7 linked regions of the Macaca fascicularis genome follow. The protein of the gene in region 3 binds, or shares a complex with, the protein of the main gene of each other region. Links are inferred from orthologs where the notes say so. Each region holds a gene or a part of one and is shown on either strand. Other genes may lie near its edges.

Region 1 (4,153 bases), on a different chromosome or scaffold from region 3:
CCCTTAATTATAATATTAGCTCCTTGAGGGCAGAGGACCCAACCTGATACTCCTGTCTACAGACCTTAGCTGCACAGGACAAATCTAGATGTTCAGTAAGGACTGATTGAATCAACCTGACCTACTGGGTGCAGGTGCTCTAGTACCTTTCTAGTTAATTTATTCATTTGAGCCTCATTTCTTCCTCTACAAAACGAGGGTGGAAATTTCTTTTACTTTCTCTTTCTTTTTTTTTTTAAAAACAAGGAGTCTCGCTCTGCTGCCCAGGCTGGAGTGCAGTGGTGCGATCTCAGCTCACTGCAACCTTTGCCTCCCAGGTTCAAGTGATTCTCCTGCCTCAGCCTCCCGAGTAGCTGGGATTACAGGCGTGTGCCACCATGCCTAGCTAATTTTTGTATTTTTAGAGGAGACAGAGTTTCACCATGTTGGCTGGGTAGGTCTTGAACTCCTGACCTCAGGTGATCCACCTGCCTTAGCCTCCCAAAGTGTTGGGATGACAGGTGTGAGCCACCACACCTGGCCCCCCCTTTTTTCCTTTATTTTAGAGACAGGTTCTGCTATGTTGCCCAGGCTGGTCTCAAACTCCTGAGTTCAAGCAATCCTCCTCCCTCAGCTTCCCAAAGTGCTGGGATTACAGGCATGAGCTGCTGCGCCCGGCCAGGAATTGTAATTTTATCTGCTTCATTGGGTTGTTGTGAGGGTGGAGAGACAATACATGTAAATTGCTTAGCACATACTCTAGTATCATACAGTACATCATCTGCTCACTTGCTAGCTATTAATTTAACAATATTAATTTCTGTCTCCTGCTCAACTAGGAGAGAGCCTATGGAAAAGAGTAAGTGCAGCGGCTCTCATGCAAATCTGTAGGTATTCAATTCAGCCTATAGAGGCACACTGGTCTGTTGCCTATGTATTGGGATAAGAACAACAGAAGATTTACCTTTTCACCTATCTTCTTCACTTTTCTGCCATGACAGGGATGCTTTGATGGGTCTGTGCGTGAGCAACTGACTAAGAGCGAAGGTCCAAGTGGGACTCTGGACTGGGAGCGAGGGCTGAGACTAAAGTCGCCACATCAGGCTGCTTATTCCGTTCATTCAGCAAATATTTATAGCTAATCTAACCAGTTTCCGATATCGTTCAAGAGCTGGGGGTCCTGCAACAGCCCAGGCTCGTGCCTTTACCCCATTTCACAGAGGAGAAAAAGCGAAAAATTAGAGAAAAACCGTTTCTACAAGAGGTAACCGCAAAGAACGCGGAAGGCTTCTAGTGCGCAGGCGCCACGCCCCGGTACGCCCCAGCTCTTCCGGCGCGAGGTCACCGACTCGACGAGCCACCGGCGCCGGGGCCGCGCATGCGCGGCGCTGCCTTTCCCGGGCGCTGATTCCTGAATGCTGAGCGCGAGCCCGCGGAGATGAAGTAAGGCGTCAGCTTCCTTTTGAGGAACGAGCAGCGGGCCGCTGAGGGTGGTCTACTGGGGCTGGGGTGGTAGAGCGTCTGCGGGGTCGAGGGGCGGGAGAGGCGCGGGGACTAGAACACCTCGTCCCCTTGTTTTGCTCTTCTTCAGCTTCGGCCGGTTAGCATTTACTTGTCTGCTTTTCTGCCTCCCCTCACCCCCGCCACCGTGAAGTCCTTTAACTAAGGTGAAGCTGATCAACGAGCTGAATGAACGAGAGGTCCAGCTTGGGGTGGCCGATAAAGTGTCCTGGCACTCCGAGTACAAGGACAGCGCCTGGATCTTCCTGGGTGAGGTGCACATCTTTCTTCCGCAGTGCTCCCAAGATTCTCCTGCTCGGTGTCCGACTATTTCAGCATTTTCACCCTTCACTCCTGCTTACATTCATTGCCCTCCTTTATATCCATCTGCTGTCTGCCCGGGAATCCGTGTTCCATCTTTTTTTTTTTTTTTTTTTTCTGCCCCATTTTTAGTTTTCCTTCCCAGCCAAATCAGTGCTCATGAGAGTTACTGTTTGCCATTTGCTGTGCTAAGGTTCAGGGACTGTTGTTATTTCTCTCTCACCCCCTGACCCGTTATTACAGCTGAGGAAATTGGGGTGCAGAGAAGTTAAGGGACTTCCTTAAGGTCACATAGCTAATAACCGCAACAGGCAGAACTATAGCTTTCTAGAACTCATGGTCTTAGCCACAGCCCCATATTGCTACCACCGCCCTCCCCCATTCCCCTTCCCTTGCAGAATTCACTTTGCTCCTCTAGCTCCTGCTTTCTGACCATGGCCACACTACCATTACTGTATTCACTTTATATCACAACCAGTAATTGTACAAGTTTGATGCTTCAAAGAGGTTATTGTAAAAACGTTGTGCTAAGCACTTTATATGCATCGTTTTATTTAACTCTTATAACAGTCTTGCGAGTTACCTGCTAATATCCCCATCTTACAGATGAGGAAAGAAACATTTGGAAGGGAAATTATTCCCTAGGAAATGCTTAACAGTGTCTTTATAACCTTTGTCTATGTGTAGGTGGGGTTAATCATGACATATGTAGACTAATTTTGTATCATAGCTGTAAATTTGTGGGTAATGAGCAGATGAATTCAACATGTTTGTGGAAGCAGAGGTTTGTGATGGAAACTATCTGCTTTGCCCATAGGATTTTGGGTGCCAGGAGGACTGAGTGATCAGTTTACTTTTGTTAGTGGTGACACTGACTTCCACTCAAAATTAGTCACTCCTTTTCCTGTTCTACTGGCACCTTACATGTACTTCTGTCATTGCATCAGACTTGATTTCTTTCTTTCTTTTTTTTTTTTTTTTTTTTGAGTTGGAGTTTCACTCTTGTTGTCCAGGCTGGAGTGCAGTGACGTGATCTCGGCTCACTACAACCTCTGCCTCCTGGGTTCAAGCGAGTCTCCTGCTTAAGCCTCCTGAGTAGCTGGGATTACAGGTGCCCGCCACCTCGCCCGGCTAATTTTTTTTGTAGTTTTAGTAGAGACGGGGTTTCGCCATGTTGACCAGGCTGGTCTCGAACTCCTGACCTCAGGTGATCCACCCGCCTTGGCCTCCCAAAGTGCTGGGATTACAGGCGTGAGCCATGGTGCCCAGCCCAGACTTGATTTCTTTAAGGGCAGGGCCTGTTGCTTACTGTTTGCACCCCTAGTGCCTGGCCTAGTGCATGGTACGTAGTAAACACTTGGTAAATGTTGGTGGAACTGAAATGTGGTTTTCTTTTCTAGGAGGGCTTCCTTATGAACTGACTGAAGGGGACATCATCTGTGTGTTCTCACAGTAAGTCCCCTTTCATTTCCTGCCTCCTGAGTCGACAGAGTACTTTTTTCTGTAATGCATTTTGTGGCATCACAAAAACCACTTATTTTCACTCTAGGCTGAATGGTGTCCCTGCATGGGGAGGGCTGGAGCTTCTGCTCTAGTCTAGATCAGTCCCAGGACATGGTTCTAGAATGTTCTCCTGTGGGAGATCCAAGAGGTTTGTTAATTTGGGAGGCCATCTTGGGGATTCTAGTCTATTTCTGTTGTTTTTCACTGAGGTTTGTTCAGCCTGGGCCTAGACTGGAACAGACTGGAACCCTCAGGAAGGTTCCATATTGGTACGCCTCCTTGGGCTCTTGCAAACTAGGGGTAACCCATGGTCACAGGGCCCTTCTGGTCCTTGCCTGTGTGGCATCATACGACTGGGGCAAACCACAGAGGAATTGGGATGAAAAACAGAAAGAAGGTTGTAGTTTGCTTTCTTTGATTCTCAATGAATGTAAGGTTAGTGAGCAAAGCCAATCTCTACCTGGAGGCTGAGAATCACAGCCTGACGAGGAACAAGAATGAATAGGAGATCTGTATATTCTTCATTCTGCTGAGGTGTTGGCAGCAGCATTTGGTGGGAGAGGGTGTTGGTGGCTCATACTGGTAGTAGCAGCTAGTAGGAGAGGGGCTGGGCAGCTGGCCTGCAACCCCAGAGGTAAACAGCACAGTTAGTCCACAGGGCCAGAGGATCTTGGCACAGGTGCAAAGGACCACTACATTTGGGTTTTGTAGGCCTTCAGAGCATAGTACTGTTTCAGAGAAGTTGGACAGCATGTACAGGTAGCAGACCATGGCAAAAGGGGCTGGCCAAGCAAACACAGGTAGCATACACTGGCAGAGGGATTGCTATGGCAGGATGGTAGGGCCATCC
Region 2 (3,500 bases), about 84 Mb from region 3:
TGCGACCTCAGCTCACTACAACCTCCACCTCCTGTGCTTAAGCAATTCTCCTGCCTCAGCCTCCCAAATAGCTGGGACTACAGAAAAGCTAATTTTTCTTCTTTTTGTATTTTTATTTTAGAGACGGGGTTTCACCACGTTGGCCAGGCTGGTCTCGAACCCCTGACCTCAAGTGATCCGCCCACCTCAGCCTCCCAAGGTGCTGGGATAACAGACGTGAGCCACCACGCCCAGCCCGCAATGGTTTTATCTAGTAAAAAAACATAAATTACATTACCAATCCAGCAGTTTTTGCTTTTTCTTTTTTTTTTTTTTTCTTTTTCAGAGGATGTTTTGCTCTGTCATCCAGACTGGAGTGCAGTGTCAGGATCACAGCACAATGCAGCCTCAACCTCCCAGGCTCCAGCAACTCTCTCACCTCAGCTTCCCAAGCAGCTGGACTATAGGCATGTGCCACCACGACCAGCTAATTTTATTTTTTGTAGAGATGGGGGTCTCACTGTGTTGTCCAGGCTGGTCTCAAGCCATCCTCCCACCTCAGCCTCCTAAAGTGCTGCGATTTATAGGCATTAGCCACCATTCCTGGCCTCTTTACTTTTAAAAAAAAAGTAAATATCTTTCCATTTTTAAGTAGCCAAATTGTCTTTTGTTACCTAAAACAGAAAATGAAAGTATTTCTTGGACATACCTTACTGCACTATGAAAAGCAATAGATCGTCCATAAGTTATAACCAAAATCTCTCCCTCAGGAATATATTCCATACTACTAACAGACATATTAAAATTTAGAGATTTTACTTCTGTCATGGTAGCATGATCCCAAAGTCTGCAAAATAAAGATAAAAATATGATGATGTTTACTCATGTCAGAAAAAAGCTTATAAATTCTAATTACATCTGCAGATTAGCCAAAGAAAGAACAATCACAATTACAGAAAAACAACATTCATTCCAAGTCACAATTACAGATGATAAAAAGAAATTCTGGGTTTCTATATACAATGTCAAATTATGCATGACAACAGCTTTTAAGTAAAATCAACTTTAATACCTACATATACTTCCCAATTTGGCAAAACTACATAAGACAAGTTCGAATCTAGTCAATTTCAGCACTGCTATAAATAGTGGTTCTTACACTCTGTTTTTGTGAATCTAGCAATAGCTACACATCTTTCCAAAGAAATATACATCAGGTGTCAGCAAACAAGATTTTTGTATAGAATTTCAGAGGCTTCATGGACCCTCCCTTTAACCTGCCCACAGACCCAGGTTAAGAACACCTGCTTATAAGAGATCAGGATTTAATTTTCTTCTGAATTTTGCTGTCTGTATATACAAGGTGAGCATCCCTTATAGAAAATACTTGCGACCAGAAAGAAGTTGGATTTCAAACTTTTTCGGATTTTGGAATATTTGCATCAGACGCTTACCGATTGAGAATCCCTAACCTGAAAACAGAAAATTCAAAATGCTCTAATGAGCATTTCCTTTAAGCATCAAGTCAGCACTCAAAGTCTCAGATTTCAGAGCGTTTCAAATTTCAGATTTTCAGGTTAGGGATACTTGACCTGTAATAGTAAATAGCTCCAGATAAATGTGACCTGGGTGCAACTTAAATTTTAATGTTCAGAACATTTTTTGCACATAATATTAAATGTATTTAAAATACAAGCTCTAAGGTAAAATATTTTTCAAATTTTAAGTTTGTTTTTTGTTTTTGAGACAGTCTAGCTCTGTCACCCAGGCTAGAGTGCAATGGCGCAATTTCAACTCTCAGCAACCTCTGTCTCCCAGATTCAAGTGATTCTCCTGCCTCAGCCTCCCGAGTAGCTGGGATTACAGGTGTGTGCCAGCACACCTGGTTAAGTTTTGTAATTTTCATAGAGACAGTGTTTTGTCATGTTGGCCAGGCTGGTCTAGTACTCCTGACCTCAAATGATCCATCCACCTCACCTCCCAAAGTGCTGGGATTACAGGCATGAGCCACCATGCCCAGCCTCAAATTGTAAATTATTAAAAAAAAAGTACTTACCGAACAGTTTTGTCATCAGCAGAAAGAATCTGTTTATCCTCACTGCACCACAGAGCTTTTTTTATACCAGAAGTGTGACCACTAATTTCCTTAGGTTCTTGAGATAAAACAATTAAAAGTATATTTGTTAATACATGATTTTTTTAACTGAACAATATTGAAACTATTATATATTTTAAAAAACACACATTTTAAATTAGACTGCAACTTTTCAAAGCCCAGCCCAATTCAAACCTGATATTTATACAGAATACAGTTAGTTTTTCCATACTGGAACATAAATTTACCTGCATGACAGGGACCCAAGGAACTACTATGCTTGCTATATGTAGCTGAGTGAATGCACCACTCACTCCCTCTAGGCTAAATTTCTGCACAACTGATAATATTCAAAAGCATTATTGTATCGCCATGAAATAAAATAATAATTAATGTGGCATAATTTAATAAGAACATGGACCTAGGAACAAGATAGTTGAAACTGATTCTAGTACTATGGCTAACTCTGGGACCTTCATCCAAGCAGCTATTGATAGTAACTAATAGGAAGTAAGAGTTAGAAGGAAAAAGGGAAACAGAAAGTGGGACAGCAATTCCCAAGAATGTTTCTACACTGTGAGGAAAACATTAAAAAAAAAAAAAAAAAGGAAGGGAGCTTAAATCTGTAGGAGATTATCCTTTCAAAGGACTTCAAAAAACCCTCACTGCTTTCTCTAGGGGCAAAAGCAGACACTGGAGGCAATGCCATTCAACACTATTTTCACCTTTGGGCATGTTACTTAAGTTTTTAACTTTATTTCCTTATCTGTAAAATGAGATAACAATGGTTACAAATGAGGATAGTGCTTAACAGATAACCTGATACACAGTAAAACCTCACTAAGTTGCTATCATTTCTGCTGCCAGCACAGCGAGAAAGAGCAACTTTCATAAAACAGCTTTGGGAAAGGCAGAGTATGAAAAATGTCCACCCAATCCCTGAACTACCTTGCTTTGACCCAATCCCTGAACTACCTTGCTTTGACCCAATCCCTGAACTACCTTGCTTTGCTGAATGAGTTGACAGATTAAGTGAGGTCAGAGTCCTTTCCTATGCTTTGGCATAAATTTATCAAAAAAGAAAGCAGAAAAAAAACCCTACATGCAACGGAGAATAAAAAAATCTGTAAATGGGCTTTGTTTCCTCACCTTAAAAATGTTTTCGTAACAAACTACCCTAACACTAAAACGTAAAATATTTTAAAAAGCTCTCAGAAATGGAAGGTATCTCAAGAGAACAACTGCTTAATTTCCAATGCGGTTCTGACTCTTATTACTCTTTTCAATGTTATAGATTTATGACTACATAAATGCCCACATAATAAAATTTCAAAGATACCAAACATATAATAAAACAAAATTATGTTTGTCATGTTTTGGTAGCTAAGTATATATATATGGTGAGGGCAATGATTAAAATATTATA
Region 3 (4,210 bases):
AAAATGGTTAGAGTGGCAAAATTGTAATGTATATTTTACCACAATAAAAAGAAAATTAATTACAAAAAAACCCCCACCAAAACACATGGCTGAATCATTTACAGAAACTCATTTGACAGACATACAGTCAGTTCAATTTCTTCGGCAGATGTGTCTTTCCCCTGAAGGAATGAATTTCCTCAATAACTTTGGTGTTGTGCCTTTAGCATCATTCATTAAAAGACTCATGAATTTCACTTGAAAACTTTCTTTCAGGGCTAAATGATGAGAAATGTTTTGTTTTCTCCAGCAAAGTAGTGTGTTTCCCTTACAGTATTATTATGAATTAAATGTCTGAGCTCTTCTTACTTTAACTACTAGGAATAAAATCTGTGGCTGAATTCTGGTTTAAGTCCATGTCTTGTACCTAGTATATCATAGTATCCTCCCTGGCTTTGACTTTATTTTTTAATTTTGCCGTACATTTGTCAATTTAATTGTATGTATTCTTATTAGTCAGACTAAACCTTTGAGCAATAAGGTGAAGCAAACTAAATGCAATGTTATGACCTTTACAGCTCTTTAGCTTACCTGCATGTTCATGTAGCCATCTACAGATACCAGATAGCCCTTGTACTCCATTCCCCACTTAAGTTTCACCATCACTGGCTTTCCTGTTAGTCCATTGAGGAAAGGTTTGGGATTGAGGGGTAAACTCTGCACAAAGAACAAAAAAGGATCCAATTAATTATTTTTCCTCCCACCACCAACTCTCTTCTACTAAATACCAATATTTTGTGGTATGCAAATGAAGAAAACTCTTGACTCATTATTTTAGTACACAATTTTCACTTTTATTTATTGGAGAGTACCAGGGAAATTTAAATATCCAGTTAGTCAGTATCACCTTTAACCCATCAAAACAAAATACTCACTATTCACTTAAGATAACACCGACTACATACATCACTTACTGTTCTGAGCTCTAAAGAAACAAAGATAAAGGCACTTTAAAAAAAAAAAATGCGGGCCAGAAAGGGTGGCTCATATCTGTAATTCCAGCATTCTGGAAGGCCAAGGCAGGGGGATCACTTGAGGCCAGAATTTCAAGACCAGCCCAGGCAACATAGTGAGACCACCTTCTCTACCAAAAATAGTCAGATGTGGTGGTGCACACCTGTAGTCCCGGCTACTAGGGAACAGAGCAAGACCTTGTCATAAATAAATAACAGAGTCCCTGTCAAGAAGTTGGAGATGGGGAGGGGGGCTCCTCACATACAAATAATTATACTGCATATTGCAACATAATAAGAGGAGATATACTAGGCACAAGGGTACCGAAGCAATCCAGGGAAAAAAGGAAAGGTTGCCTGAAATAAGTTAACCTCAGTTTTAAAGAATGAGAATTTATTTCCAGAGCGGGAAAAAATCCTGTTCCAGGCAAGGCTAGCTACTTATGTAAAAGGAGGGAAGAGTGAAGCAACAAGGTGATTTTGGGGACATACAATTCAGCATTGTCAGTCAAAGTCCCAAATATAAGACTACAGAAGGAAGCAGAGGGCAGATGACGCTTGACAGTCTTTAACTGTGGAAGCTAGGGCTAGGTCCTAAATGACTTTGTCACTAGCACTGCCTCTTATAGAAATCACTTAAAGTTTGTTCAGCAAACCATTAACATCTCCAGTGAATTCGGTTTTTGCCTTTTTCTGCTCACTCACCAGTCAAAGAAAGAACAGAACTAAGAAACTTGGCTACTAACCCCCTCTAACATAAACATATTCGGAGTGACTTGATACGGCGATTACTCCAATAACCTAATGGGTCTCCAGTTTTCATTCTCCAATTTATTATCCACCACAGCAACATGATTTTTTAAAGTGCACATCAAATTGTCATATTTCTGCTTAAAATGATTCAATGGCTTCCAACTCAATCATTTTCAATTGATTTGGAGTACAATCAAAACCTCCCAATACAGCCTAAGAGGTCCTGTCCAACGCCTGCTCCTCCGACACCATCTCGTAACCACTCTTCCTGCAAGTGGCTGTACCTTTTTGTCAATTTCTCCAACTGACCAAGCTTTCTTTCCGGCCGCAGGTCTTATGCGCCTATTCCCTGTGCTCGGTACACTCCTCCTCCTGCTCTTTAAAGGGTCTATTTCATGACACTTAGGCTTCAGGTTAAATTCCACCTCCTAGGGAGGCCATCTCTGACTAAGCCTCTAAATGTCTAACGCGCACCCTCACAGCCTCCTGTCTGCATTCTTCTTAGCACTTATTACTTGCAATTGCATATTTGTTATTTTTTGACTGTCTGTCTTCCCCAACCAACTGAGTTAAACTAGAGCATGGCCGTATCATTACTTTCATGCAATGAAAGTGAATTTTGGAGTGTGGTTAAGTGGGAAGTGCAAATTCTCTTTGAGTTTTACCCCGACCCTGTAGCCACAAACAAGAATATCCCAAGCCCGGATTCAAACAAAGAGGAGAAGGCACGGGTACTCCTAGAAAAAGAAAGGCATCGGGAGGAGCACGCGCCTCAGAAATCCTAAAAGCAGAGTGAAAGAAGCTGGCGACCGGGTGCGCGGCGCCTCACGCGGATGAATGGGAAACGCGCGAAGCAACCACTAGGCCCCGCGAGGTGGTCTCCCTCCTTCTCTTTCTCCCCGCTTCTCCCGCCGTTCTCGTTCTCCTTACCATCGTAACCACGGCCGAATATTGCAGGCTACTCACTGCCGACCAGGCTGCCGCTTGTCCCTCGTGACTACAGCAGGTACCCCAGGTCCCGAGCCGCTGAATTTCAAGAAAAATGGCCGCCAAACAGGAGTGTGACCTTTCACCTCCCACCACGGCCCTTCCTGCCTCTGTGATTGGACGAAAAGAGATGCGCGCTGATTGGAGGAGATGGTTGGACCAGTATCTCCTGGCAACCAGCAGCGGCTTGAGTTTGCGCCTGGCCGGCTGCGCGCGGGTCTTGGGAAACCCGCTCTGAGGAGCAAGGTGAGGCAGCCAAGGACTGGAGGCAGGCCGGTGTTGTAAATGTGCGGTCTGGGAGAGGCTGTGTAACGGATGTGACTTCTCCCCAACTTGGTTAATGGGGATTTTACTTTGTCTTTTTACACCCGTGAGAATGTTCAGGATCCCAGAGTTCCTTCCTCACTCTTCCAACAGGTTCCATGATTTGGGGGCGCCTCTGCCGCAGGCCGTTTCTACCTGAGTATTCTCTCTTCTGCAACACCCATTTCAACCCCTTTTAAAGGACTTCGGGGGTAGCCAGACAAGACTAGGGGCGGTGAAACGCACCGAAGGGAGTCGGATACAGAATTTATTTTAAACGAGGTCAGGTTGTGTCTGGGATATGATGTCATGTCCCCCCACCCCCCACGACCCCGCCGGCCCCATCTTTCTTTTGCATCGCCAGCAGAGACTGGCACGGCCTTCTTACGTGCATTTGAAATTACCTAAGGGCGTAAGCAATATTTCCGCTGTCACGGATTAAAACTTTCGACGTAACGGTGTTATCTGAATCTCACTGGTTTTTGTCGTAATCCTAGTGAGTTCGGCTCACTCTGATCTGAAATGCTAAATGCAGTTCTTGGAGAACACGCCCTTTGGGAAGTAACGCTTTTTTGCGGCCCTGAAGAGATGGATTTGAGGTTGAGGATGAAATGTTGGTTGTTGAGGCACTGTGGAGCAGTGGGCAAGACTTTGGAGAGGGCCTGCATTCGGAACCTGCGTCTATCAGGCGCAGCCGGTGTTGGGCAGTGTCTTAACCCTCAGGGCCACTGTTTCCACGGCAGGAACGCGGCTTTAAAAACGGAACCATCCTCAGCGTGGTTGCGAGAATTTAACCTAAAACGGGGCTTGGCCTTGTAAAAGCTCAGTGTTTCACATAAGTGTTGAACACTGACAAGACAGTCATTGTCAGTGTAGTTTTTACCAAACAGTTATTAGATTTATTCACCCTAAACTTAAGTGGATTTCTCCCTTAGTTTGTATATTGTTTCATGAACTTTAAGTCTTTGTGCAGACTTTGAGTTCCTACTATGTGTCAGGCTCTTTCAACAATTGTGGAAATCTTACCTTACCGTCTGATTCGGGGTGACAGCCCCGTTTTAGAGATGAGGAAGCAGGCCCAGCAGGTAACTGTTACCAGTTGAGGGTAGCTGTCCGAGTTCTTGCCGTTTTCAACAAAGAATTGGACAAAACGCACAAACAAAGCAAGGCAGCGA
Region 4 (3,500 bases), on a different chromosome or scaffold from region 3:
TCCTGGATAGAGGGTGGGGAGAGCAGCAGGGATCCCAGAGTCACAGAAGGCCAACATGCCGGCCCCATCTTCCCCTGAGATACACCCTCCCCTCTCCCAACCATGTCAGGCACCTGTCCTGTCAGGAACACCAGGATATCCCCAGGGGGCTGGGTCACGTGGATCTGCAACACAGATACAACACAAGCTTCCAAGTAGTCAGCCTCTGGAGCCTGGAGAGCAGAAAGAGATGCGGTCACAGGAGGGCCACCTGCTTAGGCAAACCTTTCCTCTCCTCCCCGTTCAACATATACTTTATCCTAGTTCCCCTTTGGACCTTCCACTCCATCTTTCCCTCCTTGGGATAACTTTCTCCAAAGGCCTCAGCTTTTCTGCCACAGACTTAAGCCCATCCTCCCTGAGGTAGCACCTTGGTGTAGAAGATGTCCACAGGAAACCTGCGTCCGGGGATTCGAAACACAGGGGCGTCATCAAAGAAGGTGGAGAAACGGGCAGTGTCCAGTGTGGCTGAAGCCACCAGGACCTTGAGCTCAGGTCGGAAGCGAGCAACATCCTTGATCAATCCAAAGAGAATGTCTGTGTGTAGGGTCCGTTCGTGAGCCTCATCCACCATCACCACACTGGGGAGGGAATAGGGCAGCAATGAGGGAGGAGCGCTGGGCAATGCAGTATCAGACACCAGGGTTCCCTGGACGAGAGGGGAGTGATGGACACAAAGAGCTCAAGAATGACTGTTGACGGAGGGGGGGTCTAAGGAGAACTCAGCCATCCCAGTTATGTAAGACCAACAGAAAGTCAGAGGCGGCCAGGGACCCATGATCTGCAACCTATCCCAGCCTCAGCAGACAATAGAAGCCAAGATGTAGAGGCTGCACTGAGGCCAGGACAAGTTAGACATACTCTCTAGTTCAGTCAAGAGTCTGCTTAGACTCAGTAGCTGCTCTTACTAGAAAAAGTTGAAGGATATGCTTTAGGCTGGGCACGGTGGCTCACACCTGTAATCCCAGCACTTTGGGAGGCCAAGGCAGGCAGATCACGAGGTCAGGAGTTTGAGATCAGCCTGGCCAATATGGCGAAACCCTGTCTCTTCTAAAAATACAAAAAAAATTAGCCAGGTGTGGTGGCGCACACCTGTAGTCCCAGCTACTCAGGTGGCTGAGGCAGGAGAATCGCTTGAACCCGGGAGGCAGAGGTTGCAGTGAGCCAAGATTGAGCCACTGCACTCCAGCCTGGGTGACAGAGCGACACTCTATGTAAAAAGAGGCCAGGTGCGGTGGTTCACGCCTGTAATCCCAGCACTTCGGGAGGCCGAGAAGGGTGGATCATGAGGTCAGGATATTGAGACCATCCTGGCCAACACGGTGAAACCCCGTCTCTACTTAAAAAAAAAAAAAAATTAGCCGGGCGTGGTGGCGGGCGCCTGTAGTTCCAGCTACTCGGGAGGCTGAGGCAGGAGAATGGCATGAACCTGGGAGGCGGAGCTTGCAGTAAGCCGAGATTGCACCAATGCACTCCAGTCTGGGTAACAGAGCCAGACCTGCTAAGAAGGATTCTTCTTTTGCAGAGAGGAGCAAGTTAAGCCTTTCTACCCCAACTCTCAGAGGACTCTGCATGCTCCCTGGTTTCTCCTAACTCAGTTATGTGCATGACACCTTCTTTCTCTTTGCTTTATTTTTTGGCTTTTCTGGATGGCAGCCAAGTCTCAGGAACTCATCCTCATCTTCCCCTACCCACCTCTCTGACCTCAACTCTTTGTCCCTAACCCTAACTGTGATGGTGAAGCCCCCAGTCATTCCACAAAGCAGGCTGGCTCGATGGGCAAAAATATCTGCATCAGGCCCTCTTGCACTGGCTGGCTCTCCATGGGTTCTCAGAGATTTTTTGCAAGGGATATGAAGGATAAAATCCTATCTGTCCAATCACTCCACTGTGATCTTCCAGGGCCAGAAATTCACAGCCTCTGAAGAGTCAAAAAAGGGCACATATTGTTCAGCTGGCCTGACCCCAACCCCAGCACATTCATGAATCCCTTTTCCCCCTCAACACATGTTCAACCAACCTCTGCTTGGCCATTTCCAGCACTAAGAGCTCATTATTCACAGACCAAGCTACCCAAGACTTGTGTGGAGGGCCAAGATCCAGAGTCCAACCACTCTGACAGGCCCTGCAATCTCCAACACTCTGAGGGTTATTTAGCCATCGGTATTGAGTTGGAATCTGTCTCCCTGTAACCTCCCCATGGCTCCTAGCTGTATCCTGTAGGGTTACATAAACCAAGTCTCATCCTTCTTTCCATGTCACAGCCTTCACATATTTAGAGGGAACCAGGATGCCTCTCCTGCTTCTCCCTCTGAGCTGAGCATTCCAGGTGTTTTCAAATGGTCTCCACATGGCATTTCAAGCCTCCGCAGCAATGCTATGCTATCCTGGTTGTTTCCTAACCCTGGAGATGAATGGGGAAAGAAGAAGAGGCTTTCTCTACAATCTCTTCTATCCTCCAGCCCCATCTCCGTGGTACCTGGAGGTCAGTTCAAGGACCGTTTGAACCATAACGATATAAGAACTGGTGGATTAATCAGAAGACAATGGCTGAATTGGCTGGGTGGCAAGAAATGAGAGAAAAGCCAGAGATTAGAGATCCAGGAGAGAACTGAGTGGGAGGGAGGCGGCAGCACAGGGGGAAGAGAATGTGGGCAGCTCTCTCATGGGAGATGAGGGCCCTGTATGTACCTGTAACTCGCAAGGTCAGGCTCAGAGAGGAACTCCCGGAGAAGCATCCCATCTGTCATGTAGCGGAGGACAGTTCGCTCTGATGTGCAGTCCTCAAAGCGGATACTGTAGCCAACCTGGTCAAGGGAAACCATTAGCAACCAAGTGTTGGATGGTGTGCCCTGAAAGGAACTTGGGGAAAGGTGAAGTGGGGCAGCACCAAGACTTCTGCCGTAGGGACCTGAGGGCAGTGTAGACTGAGTCACAGACCCCAGTCTCTACCCCCCAGTTCCCTAGAAATCTCACCTCATTCCCAAGCTTCACACCCATCTCCCGGGCCACTCGGGCGGCTACACTCATGGCGGCCACTCTCCGGGGTTGGGTGCAGGCAATCTTCATACCCTTCTTTGTATAACCCTGAATGACAAGGAAGAAAGAAGAGGTTTACCCTTTGCTAAATATGCCCCCTGGGACCAGGTACAATTCAGAGAAAGAAGTTGTAAAAGCCAGACAGGAGAAAAGGAGGAAAAGACAGATGCTGAATACCAGAAAAGAAGGGCAAATAGATAGGATGACAGACCTAGGGCCCTCAAAGGGGGTCCTCACCTAGCTCTGGGTAATTAAGTTCATGGCTCTGCTAGACTTGAGCTGGAAAAGAACAGATTAGCTGAGGCAGAGTCAGCTAAGGTAAAAAGCAGGAAGGCTGGGCACAGTGGCTCATGCCTATAATCCTAGTACTTTGGGAGGCTGAGGTGGGAGGATTGCTTGAGCTCTGGAGTTCGAGACCAGCC
Region 5 (3,500 bases), on a different chromosome or scaffold from region 3:
ATGTGTACTGAGAGTGGACTGAGAAAGTCTATGAAGACATACAGCAAAGCATGATCAACCTTCTCCTTTTTGCTTACTTATAATCCTACGATGTGTGTATATTACCTGTTTGTTTTTAATAGTTCTTTGACTTAATTTATACAGTTCTATGATCTTATTATCAGTTCCTTGATTTTACCTGAGTCCCAGAGTTCTTAGCTGTTTTTAGTATCCTTTACCTTAAAGCTCTGTCTCCACTAATTTCCTGGCAATTCAGTAATAATTACATTAAGGTAATAACCCTCTGAACCAATTTTATAAACAAATAGATAAAATTTGTATCTTTAGGGAAATTCCAATAGATAATTCCCGCATTTCTACAATGTGCATATATTACCTGTATATTGTTTGTTTTCAATAGTTGTTCATGGAATTTGAAATCAGTAGAAAAATCCTCATTACAAAACAACAGCATTTTAATTTAATTTTCTAAGTGATCATTTCCAGTTGTTTAAATGCACCTGTTCAAATCAAAGTTCATCATTTTGTCTGGAACGACTTTTGTTTGAGAATCAAATGGTCATGTAAATGAGAAAGCAAATAAGCATATAATGACAGAAAAGTAAGTGGCAAAATAACCACAATCTTTGTTCCACTGGCTACTGCAGTACAATAAATAAAATGACAATTAACCAAAAACACCTTTATTTTCGTCTTCAAAGAAGAAGCTCTTTTCTTCTTTTTCCAGGATAATCATGATTAACTTACAAAAATGGGTACACATCTTCAAAGCACTTCCCTTTAACGGGAAACTTAGCTTTACGGGATTTAAACATTAGAAGGTGGGGGAAAAAAATTCCATTTTCTTGTCATTAAAAGACAAAACAGAATCTAGCTAAGTCAAGAAAACTCATTCACACTTCAGGTCCTTCTCCTCCAGGAACCAGCTGCATAAAGAGGAAAAAGAGTTTATTAGTAACACAACAACCATGTCATCTAAAAATCCCTTGCTCTTCCTTAAGCCACCTTTGCCTGTCCTCTGCGCTCCACATTCCCATTTTCTCCAGATTGTCAATATCTATTCACAATTTCCAACATCATCAATTAATACTTACTATCTCAACAGCGATTAAAAATTCGAAGCAAACTAACCTTTAGACCCAATGCCTCTTCAATAGCTGAGCTTTAGGGCCCTGACCACAGAGAACACCCTTCCCATCTTACGCACCACTGGGCCATGATCATTTAGTTAAGCAAGCAACATTAAGGTTAGTTCTATAATCACTGCCCCAGAAAAATGGGCTCCCATCTAAACAAAACAGTTTCAATGTGTCTTACCATTGTTATATTATTTCCATTTAGCAAAATCTGATCTAATTTAGTAATCCTTCTTCCTTCTGGTGTGATTTCACTAAATGAATAGATAAAATACAGTCAGGATAAACAGTGAAAATCAAAGCCAACATTTTGGAAATACTTTCCCTCCCTAAAAAGGTGATCCTTGTATACAAATTACTCTGAGGTTGGGCAATTATATCGACAATTTTCAGTTACAAAGGTTATCCACTAGGTAATGTAACCTTCATTAAAAGCAACAGAATGAACTCACTGACCTAAGATCCACATCTGTCAGACAGAGCTTCATAAAAAGAAGCCAAAGCTTGCCCAAGAAATCAAATATGAAATGAAATGTTTTTTGGGTTTTGTTTTTTTTTTAAGAGACAGGGTCTTGCTCTATTGCCCAGGCTGAGTACAGTGGTACAATCATAGCTCACTGCAGCCTAGAACTCCTGGTTCACGGGATCCTCACCCTCCAGAGCAGCTAGGACCACAGCTGCCCCCCACCATACCCAGCTAATTTTTAAATTTTTTATAGAGACAGGGGTCTCCCTTTGTTGGCCAGGCTGGTCTCAAACTCCCAGGCTCTATCCTCCTCATTAGGCCTTCCAAAATGCTGGGATTACAGGGGTGAGCCACCATGTCCAGTCTAAATGCTCTTACTATCAGTTCCTTGATTTGACCTGAACCCTAAAATTCCTAGCTCTTTTATCTTCTACCTTAAAACTGTCTCCACTAATTGTCTAGGAGTTTACTAATAATTAAATTAAGGTAATAACACTGATCCAATTTTACAAGCAAACAGATAAAACTTCTATCTTTAAGGTTATTCTACCAACAGGTAATGTTTTCTCATAAATAATTTTACTCAAAAGTAGTAAAACTGTCTTTAATTAAGAAGAGATTCCCCCCCAATTCTTTAACACTACTCACAACTCAGTGACATCTTCCAGTACCATATCTGAAATTTGGTGTTAAGAAAACAAATAGAGAATTTACTCCAGCTTCTGCCTTTGTTCAGCTTTTCTTTTCTTTTCTTTTGAGACAAAGTCTCGCTGTGTTATCCCAGCTTAAGTGCAGTGGTACACTCACACCTCACTGCAGCCTCCACCTTTTGGGCTTAAAGGATCCTCCTGCCTCGGTCCCAGAGATTAGCTGGGCCCACAGGTGTACGTCACCATGCCCAGCTAATTTTTGTAATGTTTGTGGAGACAGGGTTTCATCATGTTGCCCAGGCTGGTCTCAAACTCCTGGGCTCAAGCGATCCACCCACCTTGCCCTCCCAAAGCGCTGGGATTACAGGTGTAAGCCACTGGGCTCGCTTGTTCAGTTTTAATTATAATGTTTAACACAACGGCTCAAATTCAAAATGTTTGTTGTTGATAGGAACTTTACCGTCTTTCAATACATACCTCTTAAAACATTATCATAAGTTCCCTGAAAATGAACTGATTTTATTATAATAATCACAAATATACTGATTGTCTATAGTTCTTACGTTATTAAATACTTAAGAAAAACCTATACCACCACCACCACCTTTTAAAAGGATACTGACAAAGTCATCAAATCCTAGAAGAGTACCAACAATTTCCTTATCACTCTTCATCACAATGTGAATTCTTGATCCTATACATTTGTCCACAAGTTCTGAGGAGGGAAAAAATATTATTTTACCATTCATTATTTCAACAAATATTTGAGTGCCTACTGGCACTCTTACTTGCATATAGTGAAAGAAAAACCAGGAAAAACATTCATTCAATAACTTTAGGTCTTATAATACAAATCTCAGTTTAAGCACAGCATCTGGCGCGTAATGAGGATTCCAAAAGAGTCTGTGGCATGAAGGAATGAAAACTTTTCAATCACGGCCACGACCACTAGTTCAATCACTCTTCACCAGCTACAAAAACATAAGAGGAGATAGGTATAATTATATTCACCGGAAACTCTGTCACTGCTTCCCTCCCCCAACTCTGTCTATCCTCTGTGCTCTGACGGCAGCTTGAACATCTCTTTTGCCAGCCTAGCATTATGTAGCAGGATGTCTACTTGTCCAGTATTCTCTCCTCCACTGGCTTGTGTGCTATTTGAAGGCAATGGCTATGGTTTAAGTTTATCGTTGAAAAATGCCCAGGCACGGTATCTCGTGTATAGATACTCAGTTACTACTTATTGAA
Region 6 (4,274 bases), on a different chromosome or scaffold from region 3:
GAGGCTACAGTGAGCTGAAACTGTGTCACTGCATTACAGCCTGGGCAACACAGCCAGACCCTGTTTCCAAAAAAATTGTCTAAAAACAACTTTAGAGAGACAAAAACTATACACTATAAAATTCTTTATTTATTTATTTATTTTTGAGATATAATCTGGCTCTGTCGCCAGGCTGGAGTGCAATGGCACGATCTCAGCTCACTGCAACCTCTGACTCCCTGGTTCAAGTGATTCTCCTGCCTCAGCCTCCCGAGTAGCTGGGATTACAGGCCCGTGCCACCACATCCAGCTTATTTTTTTCTATTTTTAGTGGAGATGGGGTTTCACTATGTTGGCCAGGATGGTCTCGATCTCCTGACCTTGTGATCCGCCCGCCTTGGCCTCCCAAAGTGCTGGGACTAGACCCCTTCCCCCATTTTCAACAAGTTGGCCCAGGAAGTTTCCCCGAGCCCCTTCCCCAGAGTGAGGAAGCATGGCTGTCATTTTTCTTTTCTATCTTTTTAATTAAAAAATTGTTTTCATTTTGTGGGGGAAGAGTCTTGCTATGTGGGTCAGGCTGGAGTACACTGGCACAATCCTAGCTTGCTGCAGCCTTGAAGTCCTGGGCTCAAGCAATCCTCCTGCCTCAGCCTTCCAAGTTGTTGGGACTACAGGCACACACTACCAGGCCTGGCTACTTTTTTATTGTTTGAAGAAACAGGGCCTCACTATGTTACCCAAGCTGGTCTCAAACTCCCGGCCTCAAGCAATCCTCTTTCCTCAGCCTCCTAAAGTGCTGGGATTACAAGCATGAGCCACCACATCCAGCCTGTTGTTCTCTGGCCCTGCCTGCACCGGTTTCCCCGGGCGGCAGACAGGGCCCTACCATAGAATGTCACCGACAACTGGGAGCGGACGGGGGCCCCGGCCCTGTTCGTTCCGCTGGGTGAGAACGAGGGTCTTGGGGCCACCGGTTTAGCTGGGACGGGTGGGGGACAGCAGCTTTCTTTTTCAATTGTTCAACACAGAAGAGAAACCCAAAGCAAGACGCCAATCATTAAAACACGCAGACACAGACACACGCGCACGTGACCTCGCTCGCTGGGTGCTTTCGTTACCTCAAACGGAAACGGGACTTTTCAGGCCCTCTTTTCCTGCCTACCTCATGGGACTGTTGCCAAAGAGGAAGGAAGCGGAAGGAAAGGTCTTGGGACGGGACAGGGGCTAAGCGGCCGTACGTTCGTTACGATGTGAGGGGTGCCGGGGGGCTGGAGACTGAGGTCGGGGAGAGCACGGGCCCTGGGTCCTTGGGGCCTGCGGGCGGCCGGAACCAGAGTGCGCGGGTCTAGGGATTCGGGGACCCAAATGCACCAGGCCCACACATCCCACTCAGAGGGCTGCGGGAAGCCCCGCGCATACGCCAGGGACACGCCCCGCCCACACTTCCGGGGCGCGACCCGGAAGCGGAAGGGAGCCCGTTTCTTTTCCTTCCCCCAGTGCGTCTTTCCTGCGTCGTACCGGCGCGGCGGGAGCGGAGGTCCACGGCCGTTTGCAGCGTGCGGCTGGGGGGCGTGGAGGCCTGAAGTCTCCAAGCAGCCGCGGCCATGGCGGATGTAACCGCCCGTAGTCTGCAGTACGAGTACAAGGCGGTACGTTTGGGCTCGTGGGAGGATTCCAGGCTCAGGAGTCCAGTGGGGAGGGGGAGGCTGAAAAAGAGAGTTTCAGTCTGAAGGCCTCCAGGAGAGCCACGAAAACGGAGGGGAAGTGGAATCGCGGTGAAGGTGGGGGTTATTTGATGACGTGAGTAACCTACGGGGGTCTGGGGAGTGCTAAGATCTCTCTAGGAGGAGTTTCTCGAGTCCCTTCAACGCTAAGCCCGCCCCCTTCCACACTTCACTCCCAACCCACTCACCACTTTTCCCAGATGTGGGTTATGATGGGCACTGTTAGGAACAAGAATTGCTTAGCTGATTCGACAGGCCGTAAGACTTATTCAGCTCTATGCTTCTGCACAGCGTCATACCATGCAGTTCTTAAGGAAAATATCATTATTACGATTAGCGATTATAAGCAACTAGCTACTACGATTCTTCCATCAGCTGGGGTAACTGTGATAGTAGGAACTGGCCCTGCTCATGTCAAAGCTTCAATAATGTTTTGATCTTTTCAGAACTCAAATCTTGTGCTCCAAGCTGACCGCTCTCTCATTGACCGGACCCGCCGGGATGAACCCACAGGAGAGGTGCTGTCCCTTGTTGGGAAGCTGGAGGGCACACGTATGGGAGACAAGGCTCAACGGACCAAACCGCAGATGCAGGAGGAAAGAAGAGCCAAGTGAGTGCTAAGGGAATACTATTTTTTCCTTCAGATCCAAAGTCTCTTCTCTTTAACATTCGAGCAGCATTTTGGCCGGAATGCTTGGTGTAAGATCAGTGGCATTAAAACGGTTTAGTGAAGGTAAAAACAGAACAGGAGAGTTTAAAGATTTTTTTGGCCTTAAAAAGTGTACCTGAAGTGGAAAATAACTTATTGGTACCTTTTTCTTACATGTGTGTTTCTAGTCCATAGACAGATCTTACTTTTCTTCAGGGTATTTTCAAGACCCTTGCTATTCCTATGTCCCAGTAATTCTTTTTCTTTTTTTTTTTTTTTCCATTACTAACTTTCTACCCCTATTTTTTCCCTTTACTCTTGTCCACTTCTTACCTATTTTGTTGTTACAAACTAATTTAAGCATCCATGGTATGAAAGACAGTTTTTTTTCTTATTTTGCATTTTTTTTCTTTTTTTCTTTTCTTAAATATTTCTTGGGGACGCATTTCAAAACTTACCTTTACCTCACCATTATCTTTTGATCTTGAATATCTTGGTGTCTTGCTCGCTTTCCTATGATGATGTTTCCAAAATTCATGGGCTTAGTTTGATTAAAGTATGTTTGAAATGAGTTAATACATTATCTCCACTTTGTGCTATATCTTCTTTTCCAGTTTTGTTATAATTGGTTGATAGTCAACGGCAGTAGATTCTGTTAGAGCTTGTTTCTCTAGTTAGAAAAGGAAAATGCATTTGAGAGATGAAAAACTAGTCAAAATCCTATTATATAATAGTCTCATACAATGTATGAAGGGTTGTCCTTTTTTTTTTTTGAGAAGGGTTATACTTCTTTTTTTTTTTTTTGGAGATGGTGTCTCGTTCTGTCACCCAGGCTGGAGTGCAGTGGCGTGATGTCTGCTCACTGCAACCTCCACCTCCCGGGTTCCAGTGATTCTCCTGCCTCCGCCTCCTGAGTAGCTGGGATTACAGGTGCTCGCCACCGTGCCCGGCTAATTTTTGTATTTTTAGTAGAGACAGGGTTTCGCCATGTTGGCCAGGCTGGTCTTGAACTCCTGACCTCAGGTGATCCGCCCACCTCGGCCTCCCAAAGTGCTGGGATTACAGGCGTCAAGCACTGCACCTGACCAAAGGGTTGCATGTTTTTTTTTTTTTTTTTTTTTTTTTTTGAGACGGAGTCTGGCTCTGTCACCCAGGCTGGAGTGCAGTGGCTGCGATCTCGGCTCACTGCAAGCTCCGCCTCTCGGGTTTACACCATTCTCCTGTCTCAGCCTCCCGAGTAGCTGGGACTACAGGCGCCCGCCACCTCGCCTGGCTAGTTTTTTGTATTTTTTAGTAGAGACGGGGTTTCACCGTGTTATCCAGGATGGTCTCGATCTCCTGACCTCGTGATCCGCCCGTCTCGGCCTCCCAAAGTGCTGGGATTACAGGCTTGAGCCACCGCGCCCGGCCAGGGTTGCATGTTTTAAATGAGAAACATATCTCACTGTAATGTGTAGTGTATCTAGTGAGAAGACGATGGGGAATTTTTCTTTCTGTCACTGGGTCCCATAAAGAAATACTCCTGCAAGTGATCAAGGTCCAATAGGAATCATTTGCTGAGGCTCAGGTACCGGTTTTCAGATATTAACTTCCTGCCATGAAGCTGAGGAGAGGAGGGTGGGCTTGATCCAGTCTTCCCTCGGGGAGGAAAGGTTCTGCCATTCACCGTCACGTGTCCACCAGGCGAAGAAAGCGTGATGAGGACCGGCATGACATCAACAAGATGAAGGGTTACACTCTGCTGTCGGAGGGCATTGATGAGATGGTGGGTATCATCTACAAACCCAAAACTAAGGAGACCCGGGAGACCTATGAGGTGCTGCTCAGCTTCATCCAGGCTGCTCTTGGGGACCAGGTGAGTGTGATATTGTGAAATATATATTCGGTCTTTGTTTCATTTCCCGGCATACAGCTTCTATGAT
Region 7 (4,213 bases), on a different chromosome or scaffold from region 3:
TCCAAAGCTTACCATCTTTCCACATTTCCCTGCTGTCTCTGATTCATAGGATAATTAAGAAGGAGATAAAATACAAGTCATGTTTTCTGGTGAAACTGTAAGAGAATAACACTAATATCTTCATATATTGATACAGCCAAGGAGGAATAAGGTAAAACCAGCAGGATTGTAACAGATAGCTTGGTTCTGAGTGCTATGAACCACCTACCTTTATGTTTTATTGCAAATGGAATGATGCACATCAAATTCACTCCAGCAGACTTAATACTAAAAGAAAGGAAATTTATATGATCTGTCTATGGATGCTCTTACCCACCTTGCTTTTTTTGAAGTCAAAGCTTTATTTTCATTCAGCTTTCTCCCACCACTTTCTGTATCAGAATAAAAGATATTTTAGTGGGTTATTTCTATACATTTAACATAAAACATTAAGAAGTTCATTCTTTGACTTTCTACCAAAATAGTAGTCTGTATCTAATTTTTAAATCCTCATTTAGTAGGCTATTAAGACACTGCTTAAAAAGAAAACATTTATTAGGGAAACAGTAAAAATTTGTATAAAATACAATCATTTTATTTCTCAGACTCAAGGGAGTACTTTAGGAATGGGTCTATATTTACTCTATATAGTGTAAAATCTAGAAGCCACTACTTCAGTGTCATAGACCTTCAATATAATGAAAATGTTTATTTGTCTACGCTTTGAAAACATACTTTACTATATGTATTTAATAATAATGAAGGTAAATACTTCATTATAAAGATTTAATGATAATGAAGGTAAAATGGGTTAAAGCATTTATTTATTCAAGAATATAAAAATCAGAAGATTTAAAAAAATTTCTCCTCAGAAGAGTGGGGAAATTAAAAACAGACTCTAAATAAGCTGAATCAAATCAAATATTGTGATAATCAAATACTGTGATATTGTCACCACTTGACAATCATTTAATAATTTTGCTATCTCCTGATATTGGGAACCCATACAAGTAACTGAGAACTAAATAAAAGATATTAAATCACTTGGGGACCCAGTATTCTTTAATATTTAATAGATAAAATACTTTGAACATACAACATTTCATTGTACAAATAATGTAAAAGCTAAAATATAATTCACAGTAAGTATTTGGTTAAATTCCTATTTTCTAAAAGAAGAAATACCTGTGGTATTCCTAGCACCATCTTTCCATGTATCTGGAGTGATAACAGTACCAAGTTTCTTTTCACCTGTTAGAACAAGATAGTAAAAGGAAAATTAAAATTTACTATTTCATAAGTGCATTACATTGTGCCTAAGGCTCACAATGGTATCGACTATCAATGCTATTACCATAGGAGCCTGTTAATGCTGAGAAAGCAGCCAGTCAACTGAGACTCATATTAACTGTGGGCAATGAATGACTGACCGTCGGTAAAATTCGCAGGATAATAAGATGGCTTATAATAAGCTTTCACTGTTTGTTTATACTTTTAAAAAATCCAATAAGTCTATTTGTTCCATAAATATTTACTAAGCATCTATGATGTATAAACTATAGAAAGTGCTGAGAAAAAGTGATGAATCAGACAAAATTTTAATGAGATTATAGTATACTAATTTCTTTAACAGCAATCTGTAACCTGGGTTCCCCAGGTGGATCTTAAGAGATATGTGAACAAGGTGGAGTTGTACACAAACCTTTTATATTTTCAGTTTTTTTTCCTGGCAAGAGGCTACAGTTTTCATCAGATTCTCAGAGGGATCACAGACCGTCTCCCCAAAAAGAACCATTCAACCAAAATGTAAGCTAAAAAATAAAAGATATAATAATTGAGAACTAAAGTACTAGGAGAAATTCCAGGCAGGAAAAAATAACCCTGGCTAAGGAAATCCAAGAAAACAAAGTTTGGAGAGAAGGCAAGAGAGAGGATTTGAATATGTGGCAACAGGACTGTGAACAAAAAGGAGTAAAGAGGATGAACGCAAACTAGATAAAGGACACATTCTGAGGAAAGGCATAGAAAGCTTAGAGTACACATGGGCACAAAGAGTATTTTGTTTGGTCAAAGTGTGAAGAGGATGAGGGTCAGTGAAAATGAAGCTGGAAAAATAAGTTAGCGCCTTAGTGTGGAGGGTACTGAACGTCAGGTTCCAAATATAGAATCCCCAAATTATTCTCTGCACACTGAGAGTTTATTAAAGGATTTAAATTAGGGAAATAATAATTTGCACTTACGTTGATGTTCAATTCAAACATCTCTGGGTTTACTCTACGCCATATCCTGGCATAATGACTAATGAGAATGAATAAGGCAAAGTCCTAAGTCTTTGGTTCCAGTGTCTAACATTTGGCAGGAGTACAATACTTGTTACACGAATAAAAAGGAAAGGACAGGAATTGCCAAGAGGGAAAGGTGTCGCTGGGGTTTAACTGAACATTTTTATATGGGAGGGGAGCCGATGAGATCTGGGGCTGGGGGAAGGCAATGGAAATAGAGAGGGAGGTGCAGAACTGAGACCATTCTGAGTACAAAATACATAGGACTGTATGGTCGTTGGGGAGGTGCAAAAATGGTCAAAGGGTAGGGTAGAAAGACAGCGGCTAGAATCAGAGACCTGTGGGCGAAAAAAACAAAGAGAAGGCAAAGTTCCCGGGAGGGCTCAGTTAGATTATCCCAGCCTCCTCCTCCCGCAGAAGCAGCCCCTTAACTCACATTTTTCGCACACCATCCTTCCCCACGACAGTTCCCCTAGCCGCAACAGGAGCAGCAGGAGCCTGAAAACATCAACACTGTAACTGGGAAGTATTCCCCTTCCGGGCTACGTCAATCCACTTCCGGCTTCTAAGCCCACCGCTCCCGCCTACCCCAAACCTGGAAAGCCGCGGGAGGAATGAACGCGAGCGGCTAGGTGGGGCTGCCCCATTTGCCCGCCCCTCCCTTTCTGCGACTGGCTGTTCGGCCGTGGGTGTCCGCCCCACAACCCTGCGTCTGCGCGTGGGCCTGGGCCTCCTGTCGTACCTGATGGTGGGAGGCAGTAGTTCCCCGCTTCCCTTCCGCGGGCGGGAAAGTTAGGTAAGCCTCGCTGGACTTCCCAGGCGCTCTCGCCTCCCGGGGTGCAAGTCACCCCCGCGAATTGCCGAAGCAGCCCTGAGCCTCGGCGCCCCGGCCCGCCAGCTCTCGCCGTCAGCTCGAGCGCCACTCTTCCGGCGTGCCCTGATGGACAGACCCCCTTTCGGATCCGAGTTTTTGCCTCTGTCCCCCAGTTTTTCTTTGTCTCCAACTCCCGAGCTCTTTGATCCTGCTTCTCAGCTGGTTCCTCGCTGCCCACGCTCGCGCCGGCCTAGGGTCGGGCAGAATTCCCAGCGACCAGGGTTGGGGTGGAGCTGCCGGTGGAGGTGCGGCGATGCCCGTGAAGGCTCCTCTGGGGGCCGCTCTGAAGAGCCTTCTCTCCGCTGCGGTGCCTGGGGAAGGTGGGCCGCGTCATGCCCGTGGCACCCCTGCAGGCGCCCTGGGGGCACGCCAGGGCCTAACACGGTGCTGGTTTCCCAGGAGAGTTGGTTTCCCACTTTGCCTACTCTGGTTCCTTCATTCACTCAGCAAACGGTTGAGTTTGGTAACTGCTCACTGTATTACATCCACATCTGATGGCAGCTGCGATTCCGAGGGTGGCTCAGAAAAATGGCTGAAGGGCTATCTGTTGAGAGAATGGATTCCTGATCCCCTTGCCCTCCCTCAATCAGCTTAAGAGAATCTATGGGAAAGTTTACCATTGTCCCTTCTTGCCATCCGTTTGCTTCTTCATGCCTAGTGTATTTCCTTATACCAGAGAGAGAGCTGTAGCGCGTGGGACCTTGGACCACCTCACCTGTTTGCCTTGTTTCCTTATCAGTAAAATATCTGCCTTTGAAAAGCACTGGGTGAATTAAATGAGAGCTATTAGGATAAGGCCCAGGTTCGCCCTTCTGCTTTTCACACTAGCGGGCGCCCCTCCGCGCGCGCGCGCGCCCACGTGTGTGTGTGTGTGTGTGTGTGTGTGTGTGTGTGTAGTATTTTTTTCTGAGATATTTCTATTTTCTGGAATATTCTCCATAGTGTAACATATTGACTGTTACTTTAAATTAATAAAGTCCTTGTTTAACAGTACAATTAACTCTCAGGTAATTTAAATACGTGTATTGTAGAGATGAGTAATTTGTTTTCCCTCCTTCCATTCGTGCTCTACTTTTGG

What was found.
Region 1: SNRPF (region 3) and RBMX2 share a complex: the UniProt entries of both Homo sapiens proteins name them as parts of the minor spliceosome. The link is inferred for Macaca fascicularis from reciprocal best matches to the Homo sapiens genes SNRPF and RBMX2.
Region 2: SNRPF (region 3) and STRAP share a complex: the UniProt entries of both Homo sapiens proteins name them as parts of the SMN-Sm complex. The link is inferred for Macaca fascicularis from reciprocal best matches to the Homo sapiens genes SNRPF and STRAP.
Region 4: SNRPF (region 3) and DHX16 share a complex: the UniProt entries of both Homo sapiens proteins name them as parts of the minor spliceosome. The link is inferred for Macaca fascicularis from reciprocal best matches to the Homo sapiens genes SNRPF and DHX16.
Region 5: SNRPF (region 3) and LSM5 share a complex: the UniProt entries of both Homo sapiens proteins name them as parts of the U4/U6-U5 tri-snRNP complex. The link is inferred for Macaca fascicularis from reciprocal best matches to the Homo sapiens genes SNRPF and LSM5.
Region 6: SNRPF (region 3) and SNRNP200 share a complex: the UniProt entries of both Homo sapiens proteins name them as parts of the U4/U6-U5 tri-snRNP complex. The link is inferred for Macaca fascicularis from reciprocal best matches to the Homo sapiens genes SNRPF and SNRNP200.
Region 7: SNRPF (region 3) and CRIPT share a complex: the UniProt entries of both Homo sapiens proteins name them as parts of the minor spliceosome. The link is inferred for Macaca fascicularis from reciprocal best matches to the Homo sapiens genes SNRPF and CRIPT.

Annotation. Positions count from the first base shown.
Region 1 is NC_088395.1:136,676,609-136,680,761, forward strand, and holds the start of RBMX2 (RNA-binding motif protein, X-linked 2), read left to right. Parts: upstream 1-1,353; 5' UTR 1,354-1,417; coding exon 1,418-1,422; intron 1,423-1,633; coding exon 1,634-1,749; intron 1,750-3,200; coding exon 3,201-3,252; intron 3,253-4,153. UniProt on the Homo sapiens protein: Involved in pre-mRNA splicing as component of the activated spliceosome. As a component of the minor spliceosome, involved in the splicing of U12-type introns in pre-mRNAs.
Region 2 is NC_088385.1:18,708,235-18,711,734, reverse strand, and holds part of STRAP (serine-threonine kinase receptor-associated protein), read right to left. Parts: intron 2,133-3,500; coding exon 2,036-2,132; intron 827-2,035; coding exon 689-826; intron 1-688. UniProt on the Homo sapiens protein: The SMN complex catalyzes the assembly of small nuclear ribonucleoproteins (snRNPs), the building blocks of the spliceosome, and thereby plays an important role in the splicing of cellular pre-mRNAs.
Region 3 is NC_088385.1:102,891,833-102,896,042, reverse strand, and holds the start of SNRPF (small nuclear ribonucleoprotein F), read right to left. Parts: upstream 2,801-4,210; 5' UTR 2,679-2,800; coding exon 2,676-2,678; intron 697-2,675; coding exon 571-696; intron 162-570; coding exon of another isoform or gene 99-161; exon of another isoform or gene 1-98. UniProt on the Homo sapiens protein: Plays a role in pre-mRNA splicing as a core component of the spliceosomal U1, U2, U4 and U5 small nuclear ribonucleoproteins (snRNPs), the building blocks of the spliceosome.
Region 4 is NC_088378.1:141,993,824-141,997,323, reverse strand, and holds part of DHX16 (pre-mRNA-splicing factor ATP-dependent RNA helicase DHX16), read right to left. Parts: intron 3,127-3,500; coding exon 3,016-3,126; intron 2,847-3,015; coding exon 2,731-2,846; intron 621-2,730; coding exon 410-620; intron 213-409; coding exon 114-212; intron 3-113; coding exon 1-2. UniProt on the Homo sapiens protein: Required for pre-mRNA splicing as a component of the spliceosome. Contributes to pre-mRNA splicing after spliceosome formation and prior to the first transesterification reaction.
Region 5 is NC_088377.1:97,820,315-97,823,814, reverse strand, and holds the end of LSM5 (U6 snRNA-associated Sm-like protein LSm5), read right to left. Parts: intron 3,224-3,500; exon of another isoform or gene 3,047-3,223; coding exon of another isoform or gene 2,968-3,046; coding exon 2,872-2,967; intron 2,279-2,871; coding exon 2,251-2,278; intron 1,391-2,250; coding exon 1,318-1,390; intron 927-1,317; coding exon 894-926; 3' UTR 438-893; downstream 1-437. UniProt on the Homo sapiens protein: Plays a role in pre-mRNA splicing as component of the U4/U6-U5 tri-snRNP complex that is involved in spliceosome assembly, and as component of the precatalytic spliceosome (spliceosome B complex).
Region 6 is NC_088387.1:1,387,317-1,391,590, reverse strand, and holds the start of SNRNP200 (U5 small nuclear ribonucleoprotein 200 kDa helicase), read left to right. Parts: upstream 1-1,474; 5' UTR 1,475-1,583; coding exon 1,584-1,628; intron 1,629-2,149; coding exon 2,150-2,313; intron 2,314-4,035; coding exon 4,036-4,207; intron 4,208-4,274. UniProt on the Homo sapiens protein: Catalyzes the ATP-dependent unwinding of U4/U6 RNA duplices, an essential step in the assembly of a catalytically active spliceosome. Plays a role in pre-mRNA splicing as a core component of precatalytic, catalytic and postcatalytic spliceosomal complexes.
Region 7 is NC_088387.1:75,424,960-75,429,172, forward strand, and holds the start of CRIPT (cysteine-rich PDZ-binding protein), read right to left. Parts: upstream 2,801-4,213; 5' UTR 2,714-2,800; coding exon 2,698-2,713; intron 1,231-2,697; coding exon 1,165-1,230; intron 372-1,164; coding exon 317-371; intron 1-316. UniProt on the Homo sapiens protein: As a component of the minor spliceosome, involved in the splicing of U12-type introns in pre-mRNAs. Involved in the cytoskeletal anchoring of DLG4 in excitatory synapses.